Astyanax mexicanus: one gene and its partner. The protein of the gene in region 2 interacts with the protein of the main gene of each other region in a pairwise test. Links are inferred from orthologs where the notes say so. Each region holds a gene or a part of one and is shown on either strand. Other genes may lie near its edges. The genes, in order: atxn10 and ppp1r12a.

Region 1 (7,879 bases), about 13 Mb from region 2:
TCTAGACAAGCAAGGTTCAAGATTAGATATACAATGATAGGAACATTATGGACTAATTTTGATTTCCATTATTTTTTATGTATATTTTTACACAGTTGTGTGCAAAACTGTGGGCACCTCTGTTCAAAATATCTGTTACTAGAGTTGAGTACTGTTCACATTTAAACTAATACTGGTACCAGGCCCTAAAACCACCAGTCAGTCACTAAAGCATAATTTGAACACATTGTAATGTGTGTCTCTGATATGATGTGCTTCTAAATATATAGGAGTCAAAGCGGCAAGGACAGTGAAGCACTAACTCACAGACACAAAGTATCAGCCCAAAGCAAACACACAAGTTCAGTTTCACAGAAAGATGAAGCCTATTCTAAGACTTTATTTGCTTTTAAATGAAAATCTATAATTAAAATGCTGTGTAGTTCAAGACTAGGCTTAATCCCTGAGAAACTGCACCATTATGTGCAAAGAAAGACCACACTTGAGATCATTTAAGCCTACCACTGCACTGGCTGTGTGTTACACATGAACCTAATTTTGGCTGATTTTGATGTGATTTAGTACTTAATAGTACCAGTTTAATTAAAATCTCAATATTTTGTTTTGCATCACTGAATTAATATTTAAAACACGGAAATGACTGAAATGATTACTTACATTTAAAAACTGGTGACATTTTTTCCCTGCACTGTTTACACCACGATCGCTAGATAGCAGTGTTGTACTCTGTCCCACTGTCTAAATCCCACTGTTATAACTGCATAAAATTAGACTTTTCCTTTATTCAGATTTTGAAAATAAACTGTACAGTTTAAACAATTGCAACAACTGCATTTAAACAATTGCAATATCACATTGATTACAGTACTGCATTATATTGAATTGTAAGCCCAGTATCATAATAGTATTATATTGCCAAGTTCATGCCAATATGCAGTCCTACCATAAAGGTCCGATAAATCATTCCTAAAGGATTTTTGGAGTCCAAGATGGATTTTGATTGGCCTCTCTAACAAAACTATGAACAGTTTGTTTGGAAGGTTATCTTGGACCAGATCTCAGTTCGACCTCCATAATTTCTGTTAACTGCAATTTCTTTATTACATTTATGATCTGAGGAACTGACTAACTAAAAAGCTTTCCTATCCTCTTTAAGCCTTCTCCAGCTTTGTATGCATCAATTATTTAAATTCCTACACAGATGAGCCTATGGCTGCCGATTGTTGTAACAAGGTTTAAGGATAAAATGAGCAAAGATGCATTGGATATTTAGTCAGAAACATGCCTACACAGCATTTTGAATATAGATATAATCTGAAACCCACCCAGTGTGAATTTACTTTCTGCCACACTTTTTTGTACCTGTTACCTCATTTTTTTTAGAAAAAAAAAAAAAAAAACATGCACACTTGACATTGGACTGGACATGTTCCCTCAAATAAATTTACCGCCCTTGATCTAAACTCTGTGTGGTTCTTCACATTGACCAGAATTTGGCCCCTTTGATTTAAGCTTTAGGTAAAGAGACTTACCATCAAAAAGGTAATCTGAGACTCCAGAAGCAAGCTTGAGAAGCTTTCTCAAAATCTCTAATGATACCTGGATACAGCCTTGATCTCTACAGAAAAAGAGAAAAATATAGTAACTACATTGGACTGTATTGTTTTGAGATTGTAAATGACAATGTTTTTACCACAAAATGTGAACTGTACTCTTCAGAGAGTTAACCATCCAAACCAAACCATTTCCACACAAATGGTATAGGCACACTGTATGATAACAGGTTTTGCAGGCACAATATTACAATACTAACAATTTTATACAGACATAGTACCCAGCACCACCAGTAAGCTACCTTAAAAAACACTGGTTGCGGGAACACTGCACACAGGCATTTCGTTGAGCTCTGAAACATTCGGCCGTAAGCTGAAGACACAGCAAAGCGGACTGCTGTTCATCATTCACGTCACTTAAAACCTGAATCTCCTCTGAGAGCCTGGACAGCACTGCAGACAGTCTCTCAAGGACATCCACCTCGACATTGAATCTGTGAACACAAAACATTGGTTACGATTAGATTAGTAATCAGCCAGCAGCACAAGTCAGGATGGAGCAACAGATGAAGTGTTTGTGTGTTTAATATAATCTATGAGTAGCAATCTCTGTAATAGCAGACAACAAGGTACTCTGTACATGCAGGACTTTTTGAGAAAATAATAAGCAAAGCTTCTGGACATACATATTATGTGAACAAATAAAAAATAGTATTATAATGTTATATGCACCAATGTGTTAGCTTTCCTGAAGCTCATAATTACAAAAAGGCTGTGGCCAGACTATTTAAGTGAAAAATAACAAAAATTTTCATTATATTGTTTTAATACAGTTTGTTAAAAGGTAAAATGTAAGGCAAAAACATGTTACATTTGTTCCAAAAGTTATATTGGTGTGTCCAGTCTCTCTGTTAATTGTAAATGTGGATATCAGCACTGGTATACAGTATAAACACATGTAAATTAACTGAACTTTTTCCTATAACTTACAATGTCACATTAATTACATTATCAATGTATTGTACAATAAGTGTCCTCAATAATAATTGAAAATGCTTATAAAATCTATTTTTATATATGTTTCTATGTTTATTTGTGTGTTTGTTGACATATGTAAAAGTGAACAGTATCAAAGTCAGTCTAATGACAAATATTTCCATAAATGTGACTCCCTACACACAGAGTGGACTGTAGTAGATGGAGAAAAGAGTATATATTTCCCAAACTATGATTAATTACAAATTAAGTTGTCTTTTTAAAGGGTTTTATTGCTTTTTAATGCTATTATATTATCATTATGTTAGTGGCATTTATTGGTCTTAAAATGACAATTTCTGGAACGGCATATTATATTTTATATTAAAAAAATGATTGTGACACACCTAAACGTAGACCTAAACTCTAGCTAAATTATAATTTATTTCTTGTGTATCAATCATTTGAGTAGAAAACCTAGCTACTTACAAACTTGTTAGGTAACCAACTCTCTAATTGAGGTTAACTTTAATTAAATAACTTTTTTTTAATCTTTAGCAAAACGAAGTTATAAACTACTAAACTATATTACGGTTTATTAATGACCAAATATTACTTATTTTCATTGTAATTAGGTTTTAATACAGTTTGTTGTGAGAGTGTGTGGAGTAGCCTGTCACAGCCTCAGCAGCAGCTAGTTAATGTTAGCTAACCGCTAGCAGCACCGCGGTACTGCGTGTTCGCTCTGCCCGAACCTGAGCTCTTCATCTCGGAAATTGTTGGTCGCGGCCTGCAGGACAGCGAGGAGCTGCAGATTTAACCTGTCTGCAAGTAAATCCTCCAGGTTCACAGACTTCAGGCTCCACATGCTTTCTGTCACACAGCCACAGGGACTGCGAGCCGCTACAACAACCCCAGCAGCAACACAGAGAGAGAGAAAATCCACATATCAAAATAAAAGTCCACTAAAATAAGTTATTAACTGTATGTGGACCGTTTCCCCGAACTGACACATGAGATACATGTTAAAAAGTAAACGTTTTTTATGAAATCTTTATCCACACCTAAGACTACACAGGCTACACAGGTCTCATAAAGCAATTTTTCCTACTGTATAATTGTACATTTTTTAGAAATTGTTTACTTTCACAGTCACTGAAAAATCATTAATATAGATAATTAACGTATACTAATAATCAACTTAATTGAGTTTTGCACATCTATATGTTTCTGTTGTGAGCAGAGTAAATAGCTTACGATTGTTTTTTGTTCTTATTTTCTCAGTCATATTTGAAATTATTTAGATGATTTAAAAATAACAAATGTTAAAAATGAATTATTAAATGCTGCAACTGTTGGGACATTAGTGTTAAAGTTGATTATATTAATTCATTTCATATTAATTAGTTTTGTTTCCACACCTCACAGATATTAAATTCTACAAGGTCTTCACTACTAGATGAATTTAAAATGAAGTGTGAATTAAGTGTTGGGATAACAATTATGCCATGCTCAAAATTATTTATATATTTTTTTTATTTAAATATAAAAAATATATGAGTAATTAAATGTAGTTAAATTAATTAAGTTGAATTTACTACAACTGTACAAGTAGTTCTGCTGTTACATCAGTATTACTCCATGACATCACATTCTCAGCCTACTACTTTAAGGACGACATCACCACCACCACCATTAGAAACCAGGCCATCTGACATTCATTCATCTGAATCAACTGTTCCCAAGGCTTTGAGATCAATGGCTTCATTTTTTCCCCAAACAAGTTGCGGAGACAAGTGTTCCAGCTGCAACAACAAAGGCCAGTGTTCTCTTTTGAATTTTCATGAGTGCTGGACTATTTTTGATCCCTGGCTCCCTGGTCTGTGGTCCATCTCATGTTTTCTCTGGTCTAGGAAATGCAGCAGAGGAAGTTGGTTGAGGCTGAAGAATATAATTACAGGTGGCTGCGTATCAGGCAGCTATCCTCTGGCTAGGGTGGGCCCACAGCTAATACACAGATGGTGTACTGTAGCAACCAAGCCCTAAGATAGACTCACTAATCATTTGAGAAGGAGGCAAACTGAAAGCATCTACTTAATGGCTTATGCACAAGCTGAAAATATTCTGCTCTTGGGCAGAGGGAAGGAATGTGTAGTAAATCGATGATTACTGGAAGAAATAAGTTTGTAAACACTAAGGGACCAAAGTCTGAAGGAGAAAATCCATCCTAATAAGTATTACCCCAAATCAGAAAAGGCTGGGACAGCCATTGGAAATTACATAACGTCAGGCCTGGGACAGTAAAGCAAGAGTGCTGAAGTGTGGGACTGTCACTATCATGTTTTTTAATTTTTAAATTCTGCAGTCAGAACGGCAGACAGGCCAATAATGGTATCAATAATGGTTCTTCCAGTCATGACTTTGTTATGTGTGCAGCATGTAGTTGCCATGGTCTTGTGAAAACATACATGGACATCTCTGGAAGATGTATTTTTCTACATTAGTGCAGCATCATAGATGTGTACTGACACACCCCCATATCATGACAGATACTGGACTTTGGACTTAATGTTACTTTTACCAGTCTGGAGCACACAGCATGCATTTCTTCCAAAAAATACCTGGAACACTGATTCATCTGTCACCAATAGACATTTCCACTGTATGATAGTGGTCAGTTGTTGTATTGCATTTGTTAATTGCACAAAATAATCTGATCTATCTGACCCACAGATGTGTTTGAATGACAATCAAATTGAATCAGTGAGGTCAGAGACTTACACCCTGAAGGCCCATTAGCTCAGTCATCTGCCATGTGATGTAATTACACATCAACTCAAACAGTGAGACAAAAGCTGCAAAGGTCATCTTACTCTAACAATGTTCTGCAGGCCCCGAGACACACAGAGCAGCTGATAGGTGTTACTCTCTTAAGAGCCAAACACTCTTATTTGACATGGGGGATCTCTGCCTCCTTTCTAGAAAAATCACATCTGGCTTTTGTCTCCGTTGTTCCCAGCATTCTCCAACCTAAACTCTCCCTAATCACTCTTGCATCTGACCCCGATTCACTGGGGGGAAACTGGAGTGTGACTGGGTGCCAGAGGATTTTTCTAAGAAGCCCTATTGTAGCAAAGGAGCGATTGCTAAGGAACAAATATCCCAGTGTTTATATTCCCTGTCAGCGCTCCTTTTCTTAGAGGAACACTTGTGACATTTGAGCTCACACGTCGCCAAATTGCAATCAGACTGCCACTAGAAATGTCTGTCTCTTCAACAAACTCTCCATTTGCCTTACAAATGGTATTAGGTGGAGAGAAGCACCCAGTTAATGTGACGTGTTTTCAACCAGGGAGATCTATTCAGGGCTGTCTACATAGTAACACACAACAAAAGTATTCCTAAATTTACTGGCCAAAATCTCTGGAACTTTAATAGCTGAGTGAGAAGTTAACAGATTTGCCTGTGTTTTACTGTTTTCCCAGAGGTCCACTTACAACAGATTTATGCAACAACAGCAGTAAGAATTCATGTATACTACAAAACCATTAACACAAACACTCTGTAACCGCTAGAACTAAACAGGCAATTTAAAATACTGTGCCTTTAACAATGAGTGTATTTACATGCACTCAAAAATGATTACTGCATTTATCTGATGATTGGTCATGTAAACAACATACTATGATTTTTAAAAATCAGAAAAAGGTCTAAAAAGTTAAAAAATCTGATTATATCTGTATAATATTTAGTCTGTGCCTGAGTTAAAACAGACTGAAAACATGCAGACTGAAAAATTGCAAACCCAAAGCCCAAAACACTAAAAAACACTGAAAGATTTAAATAATCTTCATCTTCTAGCTGTTGTTTGTTAATTTTACTGCTTAATATGTTAGAAATGTTGTAACACTTTACAAAAAGGGTCAAACAGTACTTAAAACAGTAATAACCATCGTTAAATGGTTTAGTAATGCCTCAACAAATTATTGTTATAACATTATTAAACATTTTTATTTTGATGATTAATAATGTTGTAAATAATAATGATTTACAGCAAAACTTGCTTAAAGAAATACTTTTGCAAGTAAACCTTTCTGCTTTCTTACATAATTCCAGACACATTTGGTGTCCAAAATATGTTTCTCTAGTTTAGTGCTGGAGCCATGATGCTAATATTAACCAAACACTTAAACAGTCATTAACATTTTGCCAGGCTTCTCTTAACCCACTAAAACCACATTCAGTTGTTCAATAAGGAACACTGGGTACTGCCATTTTGGAAAGTGCTACATAGTAATATTTTCTTTATTTGGCTGTCCTCAATGCTCCTTTATAAAGACCTGGACACAGTTTGAGGGAAGCATGCACAAAATATGGGTGACTGTTGGATTTTAGTGTTTGTTAATTACTGGTGAGCTATTATATGTTCATACTTATAGTTTACAGTTAATCATGCTGTCAGCTAAACTAGACTGACAAGTCTGTGTGATCCAGGCATGGTTTGTGAGAGTTAACAGAATAGGTTGTTAGCTACAGTAGCCTTGTAGCTCCAGTGGAAAAGCTTTATCAAAAATATATTAATCATATATCAGCATATGTAATTGAACATATTGTGTGGAAATTATTAATCCACTTGGCCTTATATAGATATAAGCTGAATAATCAGGATGCATTAAGTGATCAGAGTGTATGTGAAACTATGACCTATTCACTAAATGTGCACTACCCCTGGGATTTTCTGTTGTGGTATCCAAAAACGCATAATTTTTAGTGCAATAAAACAATCCTATAATTTTACAAATAATGCACCCCATCAGCTCCAAGATACCAATATACCTTTAAATGTATTGTTTTAAAGATCCATGTGCAGCCTTGTTTAGGAAGACCAACATTTAGACTGTTTGTGAGATGCAATCACACATTATGACGTTTACTAAAATAGTAAAAATCTTATTACAGCACACGGGTCAGATGTAAAGAATACTGGATGTAAATGGGCTCTTTATAACTCCACTATTGTAAATACATATTACACTATTATTTCACCCACATAAACAGCTGTACACATGCATTTGTTCACAAGCTAAAGGATACAGAAGTGAAAAAAAAAACTGACAATGAAGCATAATATAATTTAATATAGAATTTGACACAAATACGTCTCAACATAGTTTTAGGTTATATAGGCCAATTTTCCCAAAAATTGTCAGTGCACCCTCCGGTGTGACTTATGTTATATGATCTTTACCAGTCAGGTTGTAAGAAGCAGTAAAGCCACTTCGCTGGAGTACAGCTTTGTACTGGAGTTTCAGTTACGTTTTCCAGCATCAGGACTGGAGCAGTATTAGCAT
Region 2 (7,739 bases):
CCAGCACTGTTTCTGATACTATTTCAAGACTGACAAGTCTGCAGCACTGCCATTTTTAACCAGACTGAAACACACCCTGGATTTAAAGCACAGTGTTGCTCATATCTCAAAACATACAAGCAACACAAAATCTGACCATCCTTATATAAATAATTCATACTAAAATTACCTATCTGCATATTATCTAAATGCAATCATAAGTCGAAGTGAAAAAAATCTATGAAATCTACATTTAATACAGCTTCAGAGTACAAATAAGATATCAGCAATTCCTAAGGCATGATTTAACTTCCATTATCTTGTTATTCCATACAATAAACCATTAGTACAAATTGGAGCATAATTTGAGTTTTTTTTCCACGCCAAAACCAAGCTGCATTACAGTTAACTAGCTAGCTATATGTTGGAGGGATTTGTATCAGTTAGCTTGCCAACGTAGCTAGCAACCCTGCTAGGCTAGCGCTAGATTTAAAACAGCACAAAACAGACATTTGCCCCAAATTATATCGACATTTGAAGACTTAAAATAGTACTTTAGTATGTTATACAACGAATTCATTCATTGTGGTAATTAAAATCGGTTCAATTCACTAGGTTTGGGTCATTTTCGGGGTCTGTTTTGCCTAGCAGGGTGCGCTAACGCTAGCCACCTCTGACGCTAATGAAGCGAACAGTAAAGCTAGGACAAGTCTGAGGTGAACGCCAGAGCAGAACTGAAAAAACAAGAGTTTTTAATCATTTCTGAGAGTGCTCTTGGTCCGATTGGAATAAGAACTATGATCAGGAACGTTTTCACACTTTGATTATCTCAGGTTAATTACCCCATCTGATAAACCAAAGAAAAATCTGATACATGCTAACTGTAAACTAGTTAAATGCAAGCTTACAACGCAAAGACAGCTAATGTTAATACTAGCTAATCTCACATTACTCCAGATCACAACAACACCTTTATAGAAAAAAATAAACGAATTCGTTTGTTGTAAACCGAATTAATTCATTAGAAGCGTGCAAATAAGTACAATGAGCTAGTTTTTAGTCATTGTGTCGTTCTGTTTCGCCTTGCAGGGAGTGCTAGCTAACTAATGAAGCAAAGGGTAAAGCTAAGGCCAGGGCACACTGCAAAAACAAGGATTTTAGGCAATGCTGCAGTTTTCTGGATGTGAATGTGAATATTATAAACTCTGGATTAACTCATTTGCTTTATTAGAGAGAGGAGCTGATATATAAAGTATAAATTAACTAACCTACAAACTTTTATCTAACTAACCTACAAGGTTTTATGTGGAGGACAGAGCAAACTGCAAACATAAGAATGTTTAGGTTTCATGAAACTGTTTTGGGGCTTATTGTGATAACTGATCATATACATTTGCACTAATTTGATTATTTCTATTAATGGGGTGATAAATATCACCGATTATAATCTTCAATGTAAACACCCTGTCAAAGAATGTTTAGACATTTCAGGAGTTTAAAGCCATCTAAGAGGAGTCCACAATTCTAATATTGTTGGTAATTCTGTATTATTGGTGATTAGTTGGTGTAACAGAGAAAAGAGCTCTGACAAATATTAGTTGGAAGTTTATTAGCTAGATAAGGTTCAATGTTTAAACAATGATTTTAGGCATTTGGAGTGTGTTTTGGATCTGGCTAATGAGTATTATAATCACACATCATTCACACATCTGGGTTGACAGTGGTTTATTTTGTTTATCTGGTTGATCAGAAAAAACAATACATTCAAGGTTTAATTTAACTAACCTGCTAAATACGATTTTTAGGCATTCTGAAAGTCTTATTTTGTTAGACTTATGAATAAGTTTATAATCCAAAGCCGAGCATCTCGACTGACTCTGGTTTATTTGGTTTATCAGAGAAAGTAAGTTAGCTGATAAATGTGAGCTACGAGTTAACTCAAGGCTGAGACCAAAGCAATGTTAACTGTGATGTGCTTTAGCTAATCAAGTAAGACAATTTTGACAATCGAGAACTAGGATTCAGATTCAGAATATTTCTGGTGTAACTGGTTTATAAAACAAATAACTGATACATAGTTATATAGATAACTAATATAATGCAAAGTTAACTAGATAACTAACGCTAGGTAAATTGTCAAAAGCTTCAAGGCAAGCTTGAGTTTTAGCTAACGCTAGCTAGGTTAGTTAGCTCTGGTCTTAACGTAGTGTAAAAGCACAGGTATTAGAAAGTATTTCATCGGATTTTGGGGTCTGTACAAAAGCATTCAGAATGAGTTTAAGGTTGGTGTTAACGTAAAAAAATATTTAGAAAAGGGAAAGGAGCTGATAAAAGTTGTACTTAGACATTATGGAAGTGTTGTGGCTGCAGATATGATTATTTAAAGCGATCTCACATCTGGATAAACTCTGGTTTTTAAGTTTATTTGTTTTGGGTTTTTTTTTCTCAGAAGAATTTGCTAATAAATGTACAATGATAGTTTATAAGGTCAATGTTAACTGTCCAAGCTTCAACGTTGAGACAAGAGCAAACTACAACAGCAAGTATTTTTTGGCAAGTTGGTTGACTCACCTAAGCTAGCTAGTAAAGCTAGCTCTTATGTAGTGGACCTTGCTAAGGCTGACTATTATGATTATTTAACTCAATGAGTCAGATTTAATTCTACTTAGGTATATATTAATCAGATAAAATAACTGATCTAGCTAACGTTAGTTCAACTAAATTGTCGCAAGCTTCAGTTTTAGCTCGTTAACGTTAGCTAGGTTAGCGTTACGTTAGTTTGCTCTGGCCTTAACGTAGTGTAAAAACACCGGGTTTTAGAGCAGAAATCCGAATTAAAAAGTGCTCCGGCAGATTCTGGGGTGTGTAAAAAGCATTCAGAAGGCCTCTGGCGCTAATGTTAAAGCTATAGAAAACAGAAAACCCGCAGTAGAGAGGAGGAAGGAGGCTGGGACCTGGTGCAGGGCGGTCAGGCCGTCCACATTGGCGTAGTTGATGTCCGCGCCGCGGTCGAGCAGCCGCAGCACCTCCTCGGTGTCCCCGCTGGAGCAGGCCGCCAGGAACACCGCGCCGTCGTCGAACTTCACCTTAGTCTTCTTCTTCTTCAGAACCGGCGGCTCCAGGTCGGTTTCCGAGCCTAGCCAGCGCTTCAGCTGCTCATTCCGCTTCTGCTTAGCGTCGGCCATCTTCATCACAACACAGCACTAACCCCCCCCGGAGCCGGTGCGCTCTCCCTCCGTGTGAGTCTCAATCCTCCAGTCCTCAGCCCGCGGGTTAACCGTGCGTGTGTGTGTGTGTGTGTGAGAGACTCTCTCTCTCTCTCTCTCTCTCTCTCTCTCTCTCTCTCTCTCTCAGTCTGTCTGTGTGTGTCTCTCGCTCTCTCAGTAAGTCTGTGTGTATGTGTGTCTCTCTCTCTCTCTCTCTCTCTCTCTCAGTAAATCTGTCTGTGTGTGTGTCTCTCTCTTTCTCACACACTCACTCACTCACTTAGACTCTCGCTTAAAGTCTCTTACTCAGTAAGTCTCTATTTTTTCTCACTGTATCTCTCTCTCATTTCTCAGTGTATTTCCCCAATATTTATTTCTCCAATATTTCTCACTGTATGTGTCTGTCTCTCTCTTATACATACACAGAATCTCTCTCTCTCTCTCTCTCTCTCTCTCTCTCTCTCTCTCTCTCTCTCTCTCTCTCTCTCTCTCTCTCTCTCTCTCTCTCTCTCTCAGCCACGATCCCACAGCGCAGCGGGGCGTGGGAGAGGAGGGGGGGGTGTTGAGGGCGAGGGTGGAGCAAAGAGCCACATCTCGCGATATTTGGCTCCAGATAGCTAAGCTCGGAGGCGGCCGAGATCGCGCTTACGTCACAAGACCCGCCCCGCCCCATCCGTCTCCCTTCTCTCTTTTCTCCCACACGCGGAGCTGCAGCGTGACGTCACCGCCTGCTTCACTTGACACTATCAGGAAAAACAGGACAATTATTAAACAAAGTCAAAGAGGCTTCCTAAAAGCTTATTCACCACATTTACCTTGTTAAATCAAGATTTAAGTATATAAATATTAACTGTACACTTTGTGATTTACAACTGGAATCACCTTTCTTTAAATTAATATTTTGGTTCTGTGACCACACATGATGAAGACTGTGGCTAAATATTTATAGGATTTTAATCAACTTCTAATCTAATTATTTTCTTGGCATATGGGTGTAATGTATGAAAGTTTAGACTCCTATTCTGTGTTTTTTTAATGTGGAATTTAATTTAATTTCTTTGTCTTTCTTTTGTAATTAGAAAACTCTTTAAACTTAAAACCTGTGCCCTATTTTTGGAATCTTTGTGTGATTTGTAATTTTTGTTGTTTTTATTTTGCGATGTCTTTTTATCTCCCCTGGCTATGTTTTTGTGGTGTTACTTGTATATTTGTTCTTGAATTTATGACAGAGTAGTGTGTTGAAGAAAATAAAAAGGAAACACATGTCAACTTCTCACCTGACTATATATAATTTGGAATGTTAAAAACATATAAAAAAAAACAAATCTTGGTCTTATCACTATTGCTTGGGTCAATGCTGTGATTCTTTTGGCAAGACAAGAGCTTGACACAAATGGACAATCCTAAAATGTATAATGTCATTTTTTTAAAGAATTTTTGTTCAACAGACTTAATTTGATTATTTTGATTTCACCCGGGTCAGCAGCCGGAATCTGAGAGAGTACAGTAGGTCATGCCCCCAATGGGTGGGTACAATAGGTGATATCAGAGGAGGCATGCGCTCTTCCCTAAACTTCTAATGTTGGGGGCATTACTAATGATAGGGAGAGTCCTAATGAGTGGTAATTTGACTTTCAAATTGGAGAGAAAATAAAATAAAAAAGAAGGAAGAAGGGAAAACCGTTTTGAAAAAAATGTATTGATGTAAAATTTATTTTATATTTATTTCTAAACATATATAAATATATAACATATATATAAACATATATAAATACTAGAATACTAGTTATGTCTGGGGTATTTTTAAGTAGGATCTTCTGGGAACTGTTTTAAATCTGTTGCTCTGATCCACAGGTGGGTGGTCCGGCTGCATGGTCCAGGTGAAGTGTGTATTTTGGATTGGTAGCATGGTGCTGGTGTTGGCGCCAGATTTTGGCTCAGGTTTTATGTCCACACTACACTCTGTTGGTCTAGAAATGCCAAAGGTTATGAAATAAGAACTAGTATTGTGTTTTTGAATTTTGCCCTGTCCCACTGAAGCTAAAGAACACTGCACTGACCTGCAGGATGTATGGGCATGGTCTCCTGCATTAAATGTCAGTTTGTACACTGCTGTCCAATGACTTTTTGCATGTCAGGGTATTTTCATTTCTGTGTGTTAGAAACTGGCGTGTACACTAGTAGTAATAAATTACTATCAGTAGTAGAGTACTAGTTTTCTACAGTGTTCAGTTCTGCTTGAAACTATAGGGTTAAATTAATTGAAAATAGTCCTATCAGGATCTCTCAGTGGTATCTGCCAGGTGTGGGAATCACAGGGAATCTCACGATAAGATATTATAACAATGTGCTGCCCACAAAAATAATATCACCATACTGTTATTCTGTGATACTTGTGAGATATTTTAAGTCAATTTTCTACGAAATTTCACAGCATCTGTGTTACTGATAAGGTTAAAATACTCCTACAAGAGAAAATACCAAGAATTATGGATTTTTTTGTGTCGGTTTTACAGAGTTTCTTCACTGCAGATTTGCCATTTTATTAGCATCATCACCATGTAATGAAGTAATAATGAGGCAGTAACTTTAGTAAGTATAGTTAGGGGCGCGTCTTACAGAGTTCAGAGCAGCTATGTTTCCATACAAATATCCATATTTGACACCACGTATCAATGTATTGCAAACAAAATGAAGCTATACATTTTTGTCTAACCCCTAGTATCTGGGCAGATTCATCTTAAACAGCTCTGCCATTTGTCAGGACTTATCTGGTAGAACTAAAGACTATCAGATTAACCACCAACAAGGTTCTAGATAGGCTCTAAAGGTGAGTGGTAGAAAAACAGTTATATTTCAGTCTGTCTGGATGTTCTATCTAATTTCAAACTCTATTATCTTCTCCTTTTTTAGATGGAGGATTTTATTTCTTCTGAACTTTCCTTGAAGTCCATCCATCAGTCTGGATCGGCCTCCAGCTCACCCAGAGAGAGTAAACTTACAGTAATGGGTTTCAGCAAACTCAGCACATGAATCAGCACTTGGCTAAGCTTATGGTTTCTGTGTGTGTGTGGGGGGGGGGTGTATCAGTATGAAGTGTGGAAAATCTTAGTGGTTCAAAAGCTTAAATGTGTTTTGTTATTTTACACTCTGTAATAGTTATACATATATATTAGAGTAAAATGATAAGTTAATTAAAACTGTACTGTAATTGAAAGGAGGCTCTAGTACCCTGTTGAACCTCTAGCTTGGATACAAGATGAGATACAGTTGAGCATGGAGGCATGCAACAGTGTACAGGTTCAGTATGGCATCCTACAGCACATTTACCCATGTTACAGATGTTGCAGCTGGACCGGTAGATCATGCTCTACACTCCAGGTTTGATCAATCTAAAGACTGGGCAGGATAAGGAAGTGCTGAAATCTGGTGGAGACATTCCTGGGAAATCCTTGTTGTATGTGGGTGAGCATTATCCTGCTGAAAAATGCAAATTGGAAGTTCTGACATGATATCAAACACATGTGGCCGCAGGATGTTCTGCACATATTGCTGAGCTGTTACTGCCCCTTGCATCGGTACTAGGGGTGACCTACTTTCGTATGTGATGCTCCTTTATATCATCACACCAGCAGTCTGGAAAGTATGTCGCTCCACAGAAGGCAAAGGCAGGATTAAAGTACTCACAGCAAGGCCTCCATACATGATTCATCATGAAATCAAAAACTATTGTAAAAACTATTTTTGTGAGGTTCCAATATTCCTGAGGTGTCAACCCAGATAGCATTATTCAGAGCTTGACGGATGTTTCTTCGCATTGGTTGAGACGTGGTACTGGCCATGCAGAATTAGGCAGAATATCATTTCGCAGCTAAAGAGTTGGCAAAAGCTTCTTGATACGGTTGCCATGTTAGTCTCGGCCACCGGGGTGTTGGCACATGTAGCCTAGATGTGAGCAGATGATTTGCACCAGAATCAAACCTAAATTCAAACCATAGTCGGGCCAAATCAACTTTTGTGGTTGTGTGATATAAGAACCACAAATGCCAATACCTCTTGCTGCAGAACAACAAATACATGGGGTGGTACTGGATCTTATCCAACAAAAGTCCAAGGGGTAAAATTAGGGTTAGGACAAGGGTCCGATCTGAGTTGAATCAGATCCAGCCCACCCTCTGGACTTGTGGTTCTGCAGCAACGAACATGTCAAAAAATGGCCCAAGTGATCTTTGCAATATGCGAAATCTACAATCAGTATAAAGGTAGCACTATAGAGCTGATGAGACATGTTGGCATACATAAAAATGCAGCATTGGACCAGTAGACCTGTGAAGTTTTAGGAGCTATCGAACATTGCAAGCCTATCAAAACCCTGCATGAATGTTTTAAAGTTACATATTCCAGCAAAAATAGATAACTTTCTGTTGGGCGTAGTCAGATATAACCAAGTGACCCTTGTATAGTAAGATGAGACCAGCATGATCCCAACCACTCTGTTTGGGGGCCCTATCAAATTCCTGACCTACATACAAGCTTTCTTGATTTTTCGAGCAC

The links.
Region 1: the proteins of ppp1r12a (region 2) and atxn10 interact in binary tests that used the Homo sapiens proteins (3 or more experiments, as listed by UniProt). The link is inferred for Astyanax mexicanus from reciprocal best matches to the Homo sapiens genes PPP1R12A and ATXN10.

Annotation. Positions count from the first base shown.
Region 1 is NC_064409.1:12,214,364-12,222,242, reverse strand, and holds the start of atxn10 (ataxin-10), read right to left. Parts: upstream 3,456-7,879; 5' UTR 3,397-3,455; coding exon 3,284-3,396; intron 2,048-3,283; coding exon 1,856-2,047; intron 1,619-1,855; coding exon 1,533-1,618; intron 1-1,532. UniProt on the Homo sapiens protein: May play a role in the regulation of cytokinesis. May play a role in signaling by stimulating protein glycosylation. Induces neuritogenesis by activating the Ras-MAP kinase pathway and is necessary for the survival of cerebellar neurons.
Region 2 is NC_064409.1:25,004,380-25,012,118, reverse strand, and holds the start of ppp1r12a (protein phosphatase 1 regulatory subunit 12A), read right to left. Parts: upstream 3,604-7,739; 5' UTR 3,171-3,603; coding exon 2,934-3,170; intron 1-2,933. UniProt on the Homo sapiens protein: Key regulator of protein phosphatase 1C (PPP1C). Mediates binding to myosin. As part of the PPP1C complex, involved in dephosphorylation of PLK1. Capable of inhibiting HIF1AN-dependent suppression of HIF1A activity.